Linked DNA regions of Arabidopsis thaliana. The protein of the gene in region 1 interacts with the protein of each later gene in a pairwise test. Each region holds a gene or a part of one and is shown on either strand. Other genes may lie near its edges.

The links.
Region 2: the proteins of BHLH32 (region 1) and PFD6 interact in a two-hybrid assay, tested with the Arabidopsis thaliana proteins (one large-scale study listed by BioGRID).
Region 3: the proteins of BHLH32 (region 1) and AT3G48550 interact in a two-hybrid assay, tested with the Arabidopsis thaliana proteins (one large-scale study listed by BioGRID).

Annotation. Positions count from the first base shown.
Region 1 is NC_003074.8:9,367,093-9,372,360, reverse strand, and holds BHLH32 (basic helix-loop-helix 32), read right to left. Parts: upstream 2,863-5,268; 5' UTR 2,764-2,862; coding exon 2,275-2,763; intron 1,811-2,274; coding exon 1,265-1,810; 3' UTR 874-1,264; downstream 1-873. UniProt on the Arabidopsis thaliana protein: Transcription factor required for MONOPTEROS-dependent root initiation in embryo. Transcriptionally controlled by MONOPTEROS.
Region 2 is NC_003070.9:10,505,884-10,510,127, reverse strand, and holds PFD6 (prefoldin 6), read right to left. Parts: upstream 2,596-4,244; 5' UTR 2,463-2,595; coding exon 2,387-2,462; intron 2,293-2,386; coding exon 2,222-2,292; intron 2,103-2,221; coding exon 1,978-2,102; intron 1,741-1,977; coding exon 1,680-1,740; intron 1,364-1,679; coding exon 1,307-1,363; 3' UTR 977-1,306; downstream 1-976. Other genes in the region: MNS3 (alpha-mannosidase 3), read left to right, coding at 1-18, 107-255, 347-596; AT1G29980 (choice-of-anchor C domain protein, putative (Protein of unknown function, DUF642)), read left to right, coding at 4,134-4,244. UniProt on the Arabidopsis thaliana protein: Binds specifically to cytosolic chaperonin (c-CPN) and transfers target proteins to it. Binds to nascent polypeptide chain and promotes folding in an environment in which there are many competing pathways for nonnative proteins.
Region 3 is NC_003074.8:17,991,972-17,995,755, forward strand, and holds AT3G48550 (SHOOT GRAVITROPISM-like protein), read left to right. Parts: upstream 1-1,847; 5' UTR 1,848-2,076; coding exon 2,077-2,423; intron 2,424-2,494; coding exon 2,495-2,624; 3' UTR 2,625-2,808; downstream 2,809-3,784. Other genes in the region: AT3G48540 (Cytidine/deoxycytidylate deaminase family protein), read right to left, coding at 1-44.

The DNA.
Region 1 (5,268 bases):
TCTTTATTGGGCCTCAACATCAGCCCATGGGTCAAAATGATATCATCACCCACCGGCTATACACTCTTCAAAAGCACATATCGAATCTCTTGGGCCAAAATTGGGTCTAGAAAACTTGGCCTTTTAACTCGTAATTCTTAATTGTAAAGTCTTTTCTTTATTTTTTGTCATTTTTTTTTCTTTCATATTCCTGTTACATTATTAAATATTGCCGATATTTTACCATTTATATATTTTTTGTTGAAATTTTTTCCTCAGTGGATTAAATTTCCGACTGTTGGACCGGAATACAGAATTTGTCTAAAGCTGTCTAAGTAATAAGACTCAAGAAAACACCAAATTAATAAGCCCATTTTTTTGGTTCTACGTTGAATTTTGGACTAAAGGAAAAACCAGTAGATACAAAATGACGAGATCATGACGTAATGTGCTTGTGGTATCAACCGTCTCTGTAATATTGTAATAAATAACGTAAGTCAGTAACGGCGAAAGAGACAATATTATCAGAGATCCCAAAACTAAGTTTCTATAAATAGAACTAAGATCTAAGTTTTCACTTCTCACGAAAAAGATTCGATCTACTACTACTCTCGATTTCACTTGATATAACTTACACAAATCTTCCGTCACATAACTCTCTACATCAATCTAATTTAAGAAATATCACATTAATTATATATCGGATGTGAAGAAAAAATTGTGGTTTTAAAAAATATGTAGAAACTGAGGAAATAAATTATAGAGTAAGTACGACATAGACTATTTCTCCCATGCACATTTAAAAACTGATTTCGACATAATCGTTGTAGTTTGTCAGAAAAAATAACAATGGATATGCGTAAGAGATTTCTTTATGTCATTTCTCTTATATCAGTCACAATAGAAAATAAATTGACAAGTATAAAACTATACTCTATACTATTACTACGTAGTGTTGTTGCTTATAAACAAAAGATTAAATAGTTGCAGAGTTCATGAATATGATAAATAAAACTTCTTGATAAATTAATACAAACCCAAGCTCTATACATTTCCTATATTAATTAAGACGATAAAATGTCTTAACTACCATATATAAACCAAACTCATCACTATAAAACCCTAAACAAAGGGTTCTTCATAGATTAAAAAAACATAGAAGAAGAAACCCAATCCCAACTACTAAAAACACCGAAAATAATACTAATATCACCAACCCATAATCAAATCCCATTTTGCAAGTCTAATTAACTAACCCTAGTTAATAAAGACTTGACTTAATTAACTAATTATAACATCGATTCACCATCTTACTAGTCCTTTGCCTCTTAATACCCCCTGAAGATGATTTCTCCAAGTTATTGTTATCGTTACTTTCATCATTATTATGAACACACTTCTCTATAACCGCCTTTAACGCTTCTTCTATCGAACTCACACGATTATTCATCATCCTCTCTTCATCATAATCCTCCACGTCATCACCATCGAAGTTTCTACGATATGAATCATGATCTTCTTCATCATCGTATTCTCGGCTCAAGAACAAGATGTTCTTGACTCTACCACCTACGGTTGCGATCTCAGCTTTGAGAGTTCGAAGACGAAGAGACTTTAAGGCATTGATGACGTCATGCATGAGGTCAGTCCTGTCTTGGCAGCAAAAGGATGCTCTTATCACCAAGTTTCCTTCCTCGTCGTTGTAAGACGAATCTACGGTCAGATCATCGCACTCTGTTGGGACTTGATACGTGTCGGTGATCTGTGATGTTTGTCGTTTTAGCTCCTTCATGTGTTGGATCACTTCCGCTAGCAAAGAAGCTTTGTCCGTCTATACAAAACCAAAACGAATCATAAGTATTTAATCTTCTTATTCTTCTTCTTCAATAATAATAACTAGTACAAAAATACCCCATCTGTGGACTATAATTACTTACCAAAAATATCGATTTGATACATTTATTTTAAATTTGAAAATTTACAACTACTAAACGATAATAGTTGAACAGAGATAGATAAAAATGATAATATTGAAAAATATAGTACTTATCATTTTTGAAACTGAATAATTAGTACTATATTTATCAGAAAAAGAACAATTACTACTACTCTCTTTATTAAAAAACAACAACAATTACTACTACTCTAACCAATAATAACTAAATAAAGAGAAATTTTGAAGGATCATTAATTAATTAAAACTATTTTTCCATAGGGTTTTCAAAATAGTGAATTAGTTTCTGAAATATCAAACCATAATGAAAGGAGAAGAGTGTTTATTTATAAACGACTTACTTTGGTTGTGTTTGGTAATATACTACGCAGCTTAGCAAGATGAGTGTTGATTCTCTCTCGTCTTCTTCTCTCAGCTTCACTATGACTCTTTGAAGCAGCTAAAGCCTTAGCATCCATGACTTCTTGTGCACTCAATTTTCCCATGATCTCACCATCGAACCCAAAGGACGAGCCACGACGCATGATGGGTCCAAGAGCTTCGGATAAAATCCTTAGATGGTTCTGAGGATGATCCATGGAAGGAGGAGGAGAGACAAAACCGTCGTTATAGTCAAAAGAAGAAGAGGAAGAAGAAGCTCTTCTGTTGAAGTAGTGAACCGGGTCAGAATAACGGGTCGGGTTAGATGGGAAATGGAGTGGGTCAAAAGAAGGTAAAGATGTCGACGACCAGGGGAGAATTTGTGGATGATGATGAAGATGAAACTGGTCTTGATAGTCTTGTAAGTTGTGAAATGTTTGAAGACAGTCTTCTTCTTTCATTGCGTACATTTTTTGGTTTTTTTGGTTTTTTAGTTTTTGGGAGAAAGAGAATTTTAGAGAAGAAGAGACAAAAGGTCACAAACATCCCATTTGATAATGCATACACATGTGTATATATAGTGCTATATAATGTGTCCTTAATTTTTAAACAAAATTTATTTGATATTTTAATATTAAAGAATTCTTTCCAAAAAACCTTTTTCACCGGGTTATACAATCAGACCGCCATTATCTTTGATCACATCAAGGAGAATTGTGAGAAATAACGTATGAACTTAGTTCCATATAAAATGGCAGAATAGTATAGTGATTACGCAAAAAATATTATGTAACCTGAATTTATTTTCAACTATAATGTACCGTTAATGGATTTTTGATGTATTGCTGTATTCCAAATTTTTTAATTAAAAGTTAGTGGTTTTTCCTGTTTAATAAAAAAATCTATCATTTTCTTTGATTAAAATGTTATATATTACAGGTTTTTATGGGACCACTCTTTTTTTTTTTCTGGTATATCTAACAAAACAAATGAAACTGCAAGTGCTGCACATCTTCTTTGCTTTTCTTTTACGACTTCTAAATGGGGAGCTGTCATCATCTTGTGGATTTCTCTGATGGATTTGGCTTCCTATGAATATTATTATTTATTTATGTTCTTAAGAATTGATTTCATGTTAATGAATAGAAGATTTTTGTGCCTTTTCTACTTAAGTTAATCGTATTTAGGATAAAGTTCATGCGATTTGTAAATGAGGAATACCACGCCACCACTATATCAAAATATTATTTAGCAAAAAAAATACTAATTCAAAATATTTCGATATGCATGGTTATATATTAATCGTAACAGTTGATAATATATACAGTTATTTTCGTATATATTAAGATCTGTGAAATGCGATCAAGAATAATATGCAATAGTAGAAAATCATGATTTTAGCAAGATGATTCTGGTCAGCACCTAATTCATAGGCAAAAATAATAGTTGACAAAGTTATTTCATTTGAAACTTTTAGAAGTTAGAATGGTCAAATAGACACAATCATGTATACTTATTTATTTTTTTGGCATTTGACATGATCAGGGACCCAAAAGATATTGTCTAAGAACTCTATTTAAGAAAAGAAAAAAAAGTCTCAGATGCTAACTGTGAAAATAAAAGATGATGTCCAAAATTGTAACTAAGGTGTTTTTCTTCATCAAAACAAAGTTTTTTTTTATCTTGGGTTAAACCTAATCTAAGATTGTAAGCAAATCAAGAGCATTTCGTCTGCCTAATTTCTATAAGTATAATAAGAAATTTTCGAGTTTATACCACGACTCTACAATTCTACAAAGAAGAGAAGACTAAAGTAGATTTAATTTATATAATCAAACACTCCTACACAATTTGACATGCATTTAAAGGGGAAGAAGAAAGAGGTCATGATTATTGTTTTTTCATCAGGTTCTGAAACAACGCGTTAAAAGAATTTCATTTGGCTGCTTAATGTTTTTGTTTTTTCAGTGGAAAGCATAATAATACTCGAAAATTAACCAAAAGAATAAAAAACAAACACTGACCACAGGACACACGGATTGTCGACCGACCAGAGACCAAAAAGACTTTTACTTTTAATCATTAATAATCCCACTCGTTTCGTATAGCCAAACCCACTTTCTTGTTTTTCTTTCCTTCTTTAATCTAGTTTTTAATCTAATCAAGATTTTCTATGTTATAGATTTGTCTCAAGTGCACCGAAGAGATTCTCTCTTTTATTTAATCTATTCATACATATCCAACGGATAAATTTTGATTATGATCTGAATATATCTTCGAGTGTGTTAGCTTAATTGTCTCATACTAAAGAAGATTCAAATCCTAAAATAATTAGTGAAAATTCTCAAACCTAACTCAAGTTTACCATCCGCCAGTTTATCAAGTAGATGTGCATATAATCATTTTTAAAGAAAAAAAGAGTTAAAAAGACTTATGAAAAAGAGGTAAAAAGACTTATATCATTATATATATAATGAAAAGGAGTGGAAAAACTAAATAGTAGGATACTAAAATGCTACCGGATTCGAGTACTATTTTTGTGAAAGATGAACTATTTTTGTGAAACTGTCACATGTTTTATCAAAAACTGATTTTACATATAATGATCTATAGATCCGAAAATTCTTCATTAAATATATACTTCCATATGAATGGTGATAAATAATAGAAGAAATGAGAAAATTTTGAGTATAAATTATAGGATAGGGTATGAACTAGGGTTTTGGGGTGGTGGTGCAGAGTGAAGCCCACACGACGTTCAACATTCTGGGCTCTTTCTCCACGCTGTCTTCTTCTTTTTCCTTCTCCAAGAATTCTAAATCATTTTGTCTTTGAATTTACTTCTCTTCTTGTTTGTTTCCAATAATACTTCTATATTATCAGTACTTGATTGATTTATATACATGATTCTTTTCTGTTTTTTCTTGTTGAAACTTGAAACAAACCTCGCTATAATTCTTCTCTCGAAAACTTTT
Region 2 (4,244 bases), on another chromosome or scaffold:
GCTTACTTTCACACAAAGGTAAGTTTTGTGTGTACTTTTTTCCAAAACGTTATTGTCATCCTTGCTCTTCTTGTTTTTTGTTAAGTCTTGGATTTTAATAAAGCAGGATTACACTGAGGATGGTCTTGATGGTGGGAATAAGAGTTCTATGTATGCAAATGACATAATCATTAAGCCCGCTGATCGACATAATCTACTGCGCCCTGAAACTGTTGAATCACTCTTTGTCCTCTATCGTATCACAAAAGATACAAAGTATGAAAACTATTCATCCGATTTTCCCTCACTAATCTAAGTTCTTGGGGACTATTCTACTCTTAAAGCTAACACATTTCTAAAATTGCAGATACCGAGATCAAGGTTGGCAAATTTTTGAAGCTTTTGAAAAGTACACAAAGGTGAAATCAGGTGGATACACATCATTGGATGATGTAACAGAAGTGCCTCCTCATAGAAGAGATAAGATGGAGACATTTTTCCTTGGTGAAACATTGAAGTACTTATACTTGCTCTTTGGAGATGACTCAGTGATACCATTGGATAAGTTTGTTTTCAACACTGAAGCTCATCCATTACCAATAAGAAGAAACACCTGAAGGCTTAGTTTTGAAGACTACTCCAGACAATACACACACACACACACATACACAAACTTAAGAGAGGGTATGGAGAAAGTGATGTATAGTACACTGCCAATTGGAGAAGAAGTTAGTTCGTTGAGGAAAAAAAGTCATAACTTTCAATGTAAGATAAGCTTCTGCATCCAAATTATAACTTAACTCGTAAAAGTTTTTGCTTGTAGTAGTAGGTTTCTTGAGACTAATATTCTCTCTTTTCGTTAAGCTCTCACTTGGCAAAATGTAATCAGACACAATTGACATGGAGATGAATTATGGTTTTAGTTTTTTATACATACCATTTACACTGCAAGATAAGATCATTCTGATATGACTAATAAACCTTTAAATTTGAGATCATTTGGTCATCTTAGCTCTTTGTAATCTGCAAGGTGTTGCATAGAACATAATCGACTTGAAGTATGTATGAAGACCAAATTAGGCGCACACACACAATATTTTTTTGTAAATCTCCAAACTCATAACTTCATAAAGGGCGACAAGATCATGTATAAGTTACACACTTAAGTCTAGTTGTCAACAAAAAAAGATTAGTGACACAAAGAGACATCAATCACCCAATAAACTGAAACCACAAGAACCCTCAGTAACTGAATATGACACCATTGAGACAAGGCCGAGCACAGTGGAAAGGGTTTAACAAGTGTGGTTGCAACTGAGTAGCTCAATCAAGCCTTTGCTTTTCCTGCCTGGATAGTTTGTAGCCTTTGTTGTAACTTCATTATCTGCAAATATTTTGATTCCATAAATTGAAACCATAGGATCATTATCACCATTTAAAAGCCAAGAAAGTGCAGAAACAGCAAATCCTCATATTGCGCCAAGGCCAGTAGGCCACTCAACGAGACAGAGGAGATAACAAAGTTCAAGTATTTACTTTCCGGGCAGGCTTAAACTGACAACAATAGCTACCAAAGTATCTTTTTAGAGCTTAGTATACTGAGCATCAATGTTTGGACTATTATTGGTGTAGCAGTCCTAGTATCACTAATTCAATGCACTCAAAGAAGTATATAAATGCATGAGAGGCAGATGTCTTACCGTTTCTCTCTTGTTGTTTTGTTTTTCTTCCATATCTTGAAGAATTGCATCAAGCCGTTTCCTGCAAAGGATACAACAATATTCTTGAGGTCACAACACTATAGCTCAAACACTTTATCAACATCTCTCATAGTTGTTACATAGCTAGAAGTGAAAACATTTTAGCTACTTATGAACAGCAATCACTCACTATTAGCCTAGAAAGAAAGAAAGGTTCTTTATTTACAATAACAATCCCAAAATAGGTTTCTCAACGAACTGCATTTGCTTCAATCACATTAAAAGAAAAGAAACTCACAATTCAGCAGAGATGTACTCAATTCGTTTACGAACATTTGCATTAGCTTCAGCCAAATCCTGCTTCACTAACACCGGACCAATCAATTTGTAGACGTTAGCATCTTCTTCCAGCAAATCTAACTCCTGTAGATACAAGACAGACACATAAAAAGATTAAAGCCAATCAACAATCGAAATAAACTTCTCTTTTCAGTTGAAGTAGCCACAAAACTCAGATTAAACAGTGAGACATGAACATATACCTTAAGCACGAGCTCATTCTCACCGAGTTGGATCGTATACTTCTTTCTCAGCTGATGATTCTTCCCGATATCTGAAAATATGAACACAGAAAAGTAGGGTTTCCCGCCTCCAGAAACAAGAAAAGAATCAAATCGAGAAAAGTTACGAGAATCTACGAAACTTGCCTTTCTGGATTTTGCCGAGATCATTAGCCTTGTTTTCTAGGTCTCTCTGCAAATCACGAACAGTCGATGAACTCATCTTCGTCGTCGTCGTCTGCTTCTTCCTCACTCCGGTGGTTTATTGAAAACTCGCAGATCCACCAAGGAGCAGTAACAAAACTCCGTTAAAGCCCCCGTGTTTTAGTAAGGCCCAAAACCGTATTAACTTGGACTTTTTAACGGCCCAATATGCTTTTCTTCTATTATCAAGCCTAGTTTTAGTTACATACAAAAGAAAAACACTATTTATCACTTGGTGACGTAATATCTTCTAGTTCACTGATCATATCAACACTGAACATAACTCTCATAAACACAAATTTTTACTTTTCGTCCCTTTATACCTCAATCTATAACGGGAAAAATGTCGTTTAATACGTGAACTTTAAAAAAATGGTCATTTAATACGTGAACTTTATATATGGTAAATTAATACATACAAAAATCGTTGACTGGCCATTTTACACAAACTTAATCGTTGATCAGGCCAAAATCTACACGACGTTATCTGACATTAACAGACCGATAACAGCCGTTAACTAATCTCTGTTAGTTTCCAATACGACGTCATTTCGATTATCGCAAAAACGGGAAAAATGCCATTTAATACTCCAACTTTCAAATTATGGTCATTTTATACATCAACTTCACATATGGCCATTTTATACATGAACTAAACGTTGACCAACAGTTTAAAAAATGAGAATGTGTTAACCAGGCCAAAGAGACATACCGCTATCTAGGCCTAGGTATTTGAATAAATCCAAACCGAATCCAAACAAAAATCTGAATATCTAGGTCTAGATAGCGGTATGTCTTTTTGGTCTAATCAACGCATTCTCATATTTTAAACTATTGGTCAACGTTTAGTTCATATATAAAATGGCCACATGTGAAGTTGATATATAAAATGACCACAATTTGAAAATTGGAGTATTAAATGGCATTTTCCGTTTTCGCGATACTCGAAACAACGTCGTATTAGAAACTAACGAAGATTAGTTAACGACTGTTATCGGTCTGTTAATGTCAGATAACGTCGTGTAGATTTTGGCTTGATCAACGATTAAGTTTATGTAAAATTGTCAGTCAACGATTTTTGTATGTATTAATTTGCCATATATAAAGTTCACGTATTAAATGGCCAATTTTGAAAGTTCACGTATTAAACAACATTTTTTCAAATCTATAATAGTGAAAAGCCGAAGATTTTACAAAGACATTTTTGTTGTTGTCAAACTAATAATTCACTCCACAGCCTAAAAGAAATAGAGTTGGATCAAAAGTAAAGTTGCCACTTTAGTCTCGCATCTAGCACAGATCCAATGAGAGGGAAAAAAAAAGAGAGAACCTAGGTCAATACTAAAACTTATTCCATCGTGGCTCTACTAATTAGAACAATTAAATACTATGTTACAGTAGAAACATTTCTTTTACTTTTTTTTTGTTATGCGTGCATGGAGTTTTGTCTGTAAAGAGCTTTAAATATAGTGGAAATTAAATGTTGAGAGTTAAAAAAAAAGAAGAAAAAAAAAGACAAGGAGTGAGGAATCTTGGATAAAAGGACACTAACCTTCCCTGTCTTTGCTCGCTGCCCGAAAAGAACATACAGAAAGACACTTTCACATTTCACACTTACAGAGAGAGAGAAGAGAGATAAAGAGAGCATTTAGATATCTTGAGGAAGACGAAGAAGAAGTAGAGGAGAGATATGGTTCCGAGCAACAATAGATGCAAATGGAGTTCCATTTTCTTGTTTCTGCTCAGTGTCTCCGTTGCCGTCTTAGTCGCCGTCGCTGACGACAAGTCTCCGGCGGTTGAG
Region 3 (3,784 bases), 8.6 Mb from region 1:
AAGATTGCAGATGTAGAGACGAGTGTAAGATCTCGAGAGTTCATGGGGAGCTTCAAAATCGATAAAACAGATTTATCCAGAAAAATCTTTGCTCTTCTCTCTTCACTATTAAATGTAGCGGGAAACTATAAGAGAGTGAAAATCCCCGCCATTCCGGTTAAGGCAGGTCTATCATTCGGTTCATATGATTGTTGGTTTAGGTTTCGGTTAATAACTAGATTGGTTTACTGATTGTGCTTTCTCTTCTCAGCAGAAAATTATGGCAATTAACAGATTTTGGTTAATTTCATTTTTTTCAAAAATTATGTGTTATTGAATCATTTATTTTATTATTTGTTATTTTTTTTTATTTTTTTTAGTATTGAGTGCTACCAATATATTTTTTGGATAAAAAAAACTATACCGGTCCAGATTTGATATCTCAACCATCTCTTCTATATTTCTATTAACTATGGATTTAAACTTTTTTGTATCGTTGATGTTTTGACAATCTTTTCAATTCACAAAAAGGTTATAAAAGATTGATTTTGAAATTTTGGTTAATGATCTTGTGAAAAAATTGACATTACCTTTCAAAATTTTTTTTTATAACTATAGTTCTATATTCTTATTTTGCGCTTTTAAGATACCGTCTCTGACTTTTTTATTGGTAGGCACGGTTGTGTATACCTATATAAGTTTTAGTTTTATTTCGCTATTTAGTTTTCTTTTGTCTAATGTAATGTAATATGAACTGGATAGATTAAGAAAACATAAAGTGGAAACGAACAAAGTTTGAAAAATAACAAATAATTGGAAACGTACATGAAACTATGAAACACATGAAACAAGTTAATAACTTTAAAAAAAAAACATTGAAAGCATTACGTACATTTTTATCTATAAATAACAAAATGTATTTAAAACATAACGACCAGGCAATCGTAGATCACAACACAATTCAGATTAGCTATTAAACCTGTGGAATTTTGTTTTTTTTTGTCATTTAGAGCGTCTATACTAATTAATGTAATTGAGATTGCAGCGGAAAGACTCAAACCCTAGTTTCCGAATTCTCAATCCTATAAATCTGTTATAATCTTTCAACTATTTAAATCACATATATAAATAAAATATAAACTGTTATATGAGAAGAATTTGATTAAATTACTAATATATACGGACTAAGCACATAGTAAGTGAGCTAGTTGCTAGCTTTTGAATCCATTAAGCCACGTGCATCACCAATTATTACACAACCCACATCCACATTTTCATTTTTTTAAAAGGATACGTTAATTAACAAATATACAATCGCAAAGTTATTAGTTACAAAAACATATAAAATGAGATAGATGATGAAAAAGTGAAAAGGGTTTCTTTAAAAAGCCTCTCATGCTTCAATAACGTGATCCGTTTATATCCCATCTTCTCTGTCTTTTCTTCAACGGAGATTTTCTCTACACCTTAACTATTTTTTTTCTTCCTATTTCTATCTTCGTTTTACTAACCTACCCTCCATTATTTTCACTTTACAAGTATGCTCCTCTTATGTTTTGGAAAAAAAAAAAACAATGAAATTTTGCAATTGCAAGTTATGTCATAATATATAGTAGCTTTAACGTAAAAAACAACATTAATCACGTTTGCGTTTACATGTTTATATTATTTCGACATAAACGCAAATAACATGTTCATCATTATAAAACATTCTAAAAATTTGGTTATTGGTGACTATTTATTTTGTAACTCGACAAAACTTAAAAAATCTTATATATCTAACCTATTTTTAACTTTAGTTGATTGTTGTACAATCACATCATTTCGTCTTATCATGGAACCACACTTGACAACAAATTCACATAATGGCGGTACGGTGGTCGTTTGTTAACTTTGAGGATTATATAAAAACCCAATGATCAAATAACCCAAAAAGATATGCATATTCGAATAAGGGGTTATAAGTGTAATTTCAAGTAGATAGTATATGTGCACAGACACGAAGCAGCTTACATATAAAGTGATTGGTAATTGCCATCCCCACACTTATTGAGAAGTGCAGCCTTTTAGCCAAAAAAAACAAACAAGAATACAAAAATGGCTGAACAACAAGATCATCACAAAGAGCTTCAGCTTTTACCTTCTCCACCGTCTACCGAATCTCCGGTAAGGAAACACCGACCAACAGTTATAACAACCGACCATCACAACAATCACCACCGTTCCTCCTCCATGATCCACCACGATCTTGACCTCAAACTCTCCATCAGCCTCAGCTCGATCTCAACAGCGGAGGAGCTTCCAAACGGTGGTGTGGAGGCGTTGAAGTGGCAAGCCGCGGAGCAGATAAGGCTTGCGGCTATAGAGAAGGCTTACGCCGAGAGGGTTAGAGAGTTGACTCGCCGTGAGATGGAGATGGCTCAGTCTGAGTTTGCTCGTGCAAGGTAGTTAAAGCTAGCTCGATCAAGTAATAATTCTGGTTTTGGTTTGGTTAACGGTTTTGAATTGTAACCAGGGTGATGTGGCAGAAGGCAAGGGAAGAAGTGGAGAGAGCTGAGAGATTGAAGGAGAGATCAATGACGAAGATCGATACGGCTTGCTTGGAGATCACTTGCCACTCTTGCAGACAAAGGTTTAGGCCATAACATAAGTATTTATTTGTTTCTCTTAATTATTGTTATTATAAATGGATATTTGAAGAGAAAGAGAATGTTGGTTTAATTTAAATTTTATTTTGTAGTTAAATTTAATTTGTTTTCATTTTCGAGTTTGGTAATATTATATAGTCCTTCCTTTTTATTTTCTTGAAATCGAAGGAAAACAATATGCTCAGATAAGAGATGATTTATGTTTCCAGCTACTTTACTTCCTCTTCTTTGCCAACCAAAAAAAAAAAAAAAAAAAATCATGAATACCATTTAGTGAATTACTTGGGAATTAGGGATAAAATTCATTAGTTACGTTGTCAACATTAGCTATGTCAATTCCTCAACGATCAGCTATTATATACTATATGGAGTATTAAAATCTAACTATGACATTTATTAACCAACAGAACAAAACCTAATTAGTAATTACAGTGATTAGTTAGTTAAATGCTTGATGTTAAAGTAACAAGAGATGGAGTGACATTCACAATCGAGGAACGTGGAAAATAAAAAAGAGAATGGACGGATTGCATGATTTGAATATAATTGGCTGACCCATATGTGATTCATTTGATTTGTTGTAATCATCTTTGAAAACGTTCGTTCAATGAAAATTGATGATTATTCTGAAAACAAATAATCAAACACACGTAAAGACATATGCATGGAGATGATGGGTATAATTATTGCATTAACATGCTTATTTCATCTACTTTAATCTCTTAGGTCGCTTTAAATAGTATATATGTGTGTACTATTATTTTGTGTTTGTGCATATACGTACATTTACTTACAGAAACTTGATAAATGTATGAATATTTTTGATAAGAGAGAGGATTAATTTTAATTATGTACTTCGTAGACTATGGTTTAAATCAATCGTGTACTACAGATAATATGTTCAAATTTAAATCCTAAAAAATGCCGAGTTTACGATCATACCCTAAATACGTAAATCAACTCGGCTGATCTATTCGGTTGGTCGTCATATTCTCTATAAAATGATACATACATATGAACTATATTAACGATTATGACAATATATAGAATATATGTAAACATTTTGAGAATATATATCAAAAGCACATTGTAATCCACTTTGTCATTTCTATGCCCATCTTTAGTATTTGGAACTGAATATACGTTTTCGAACAGAT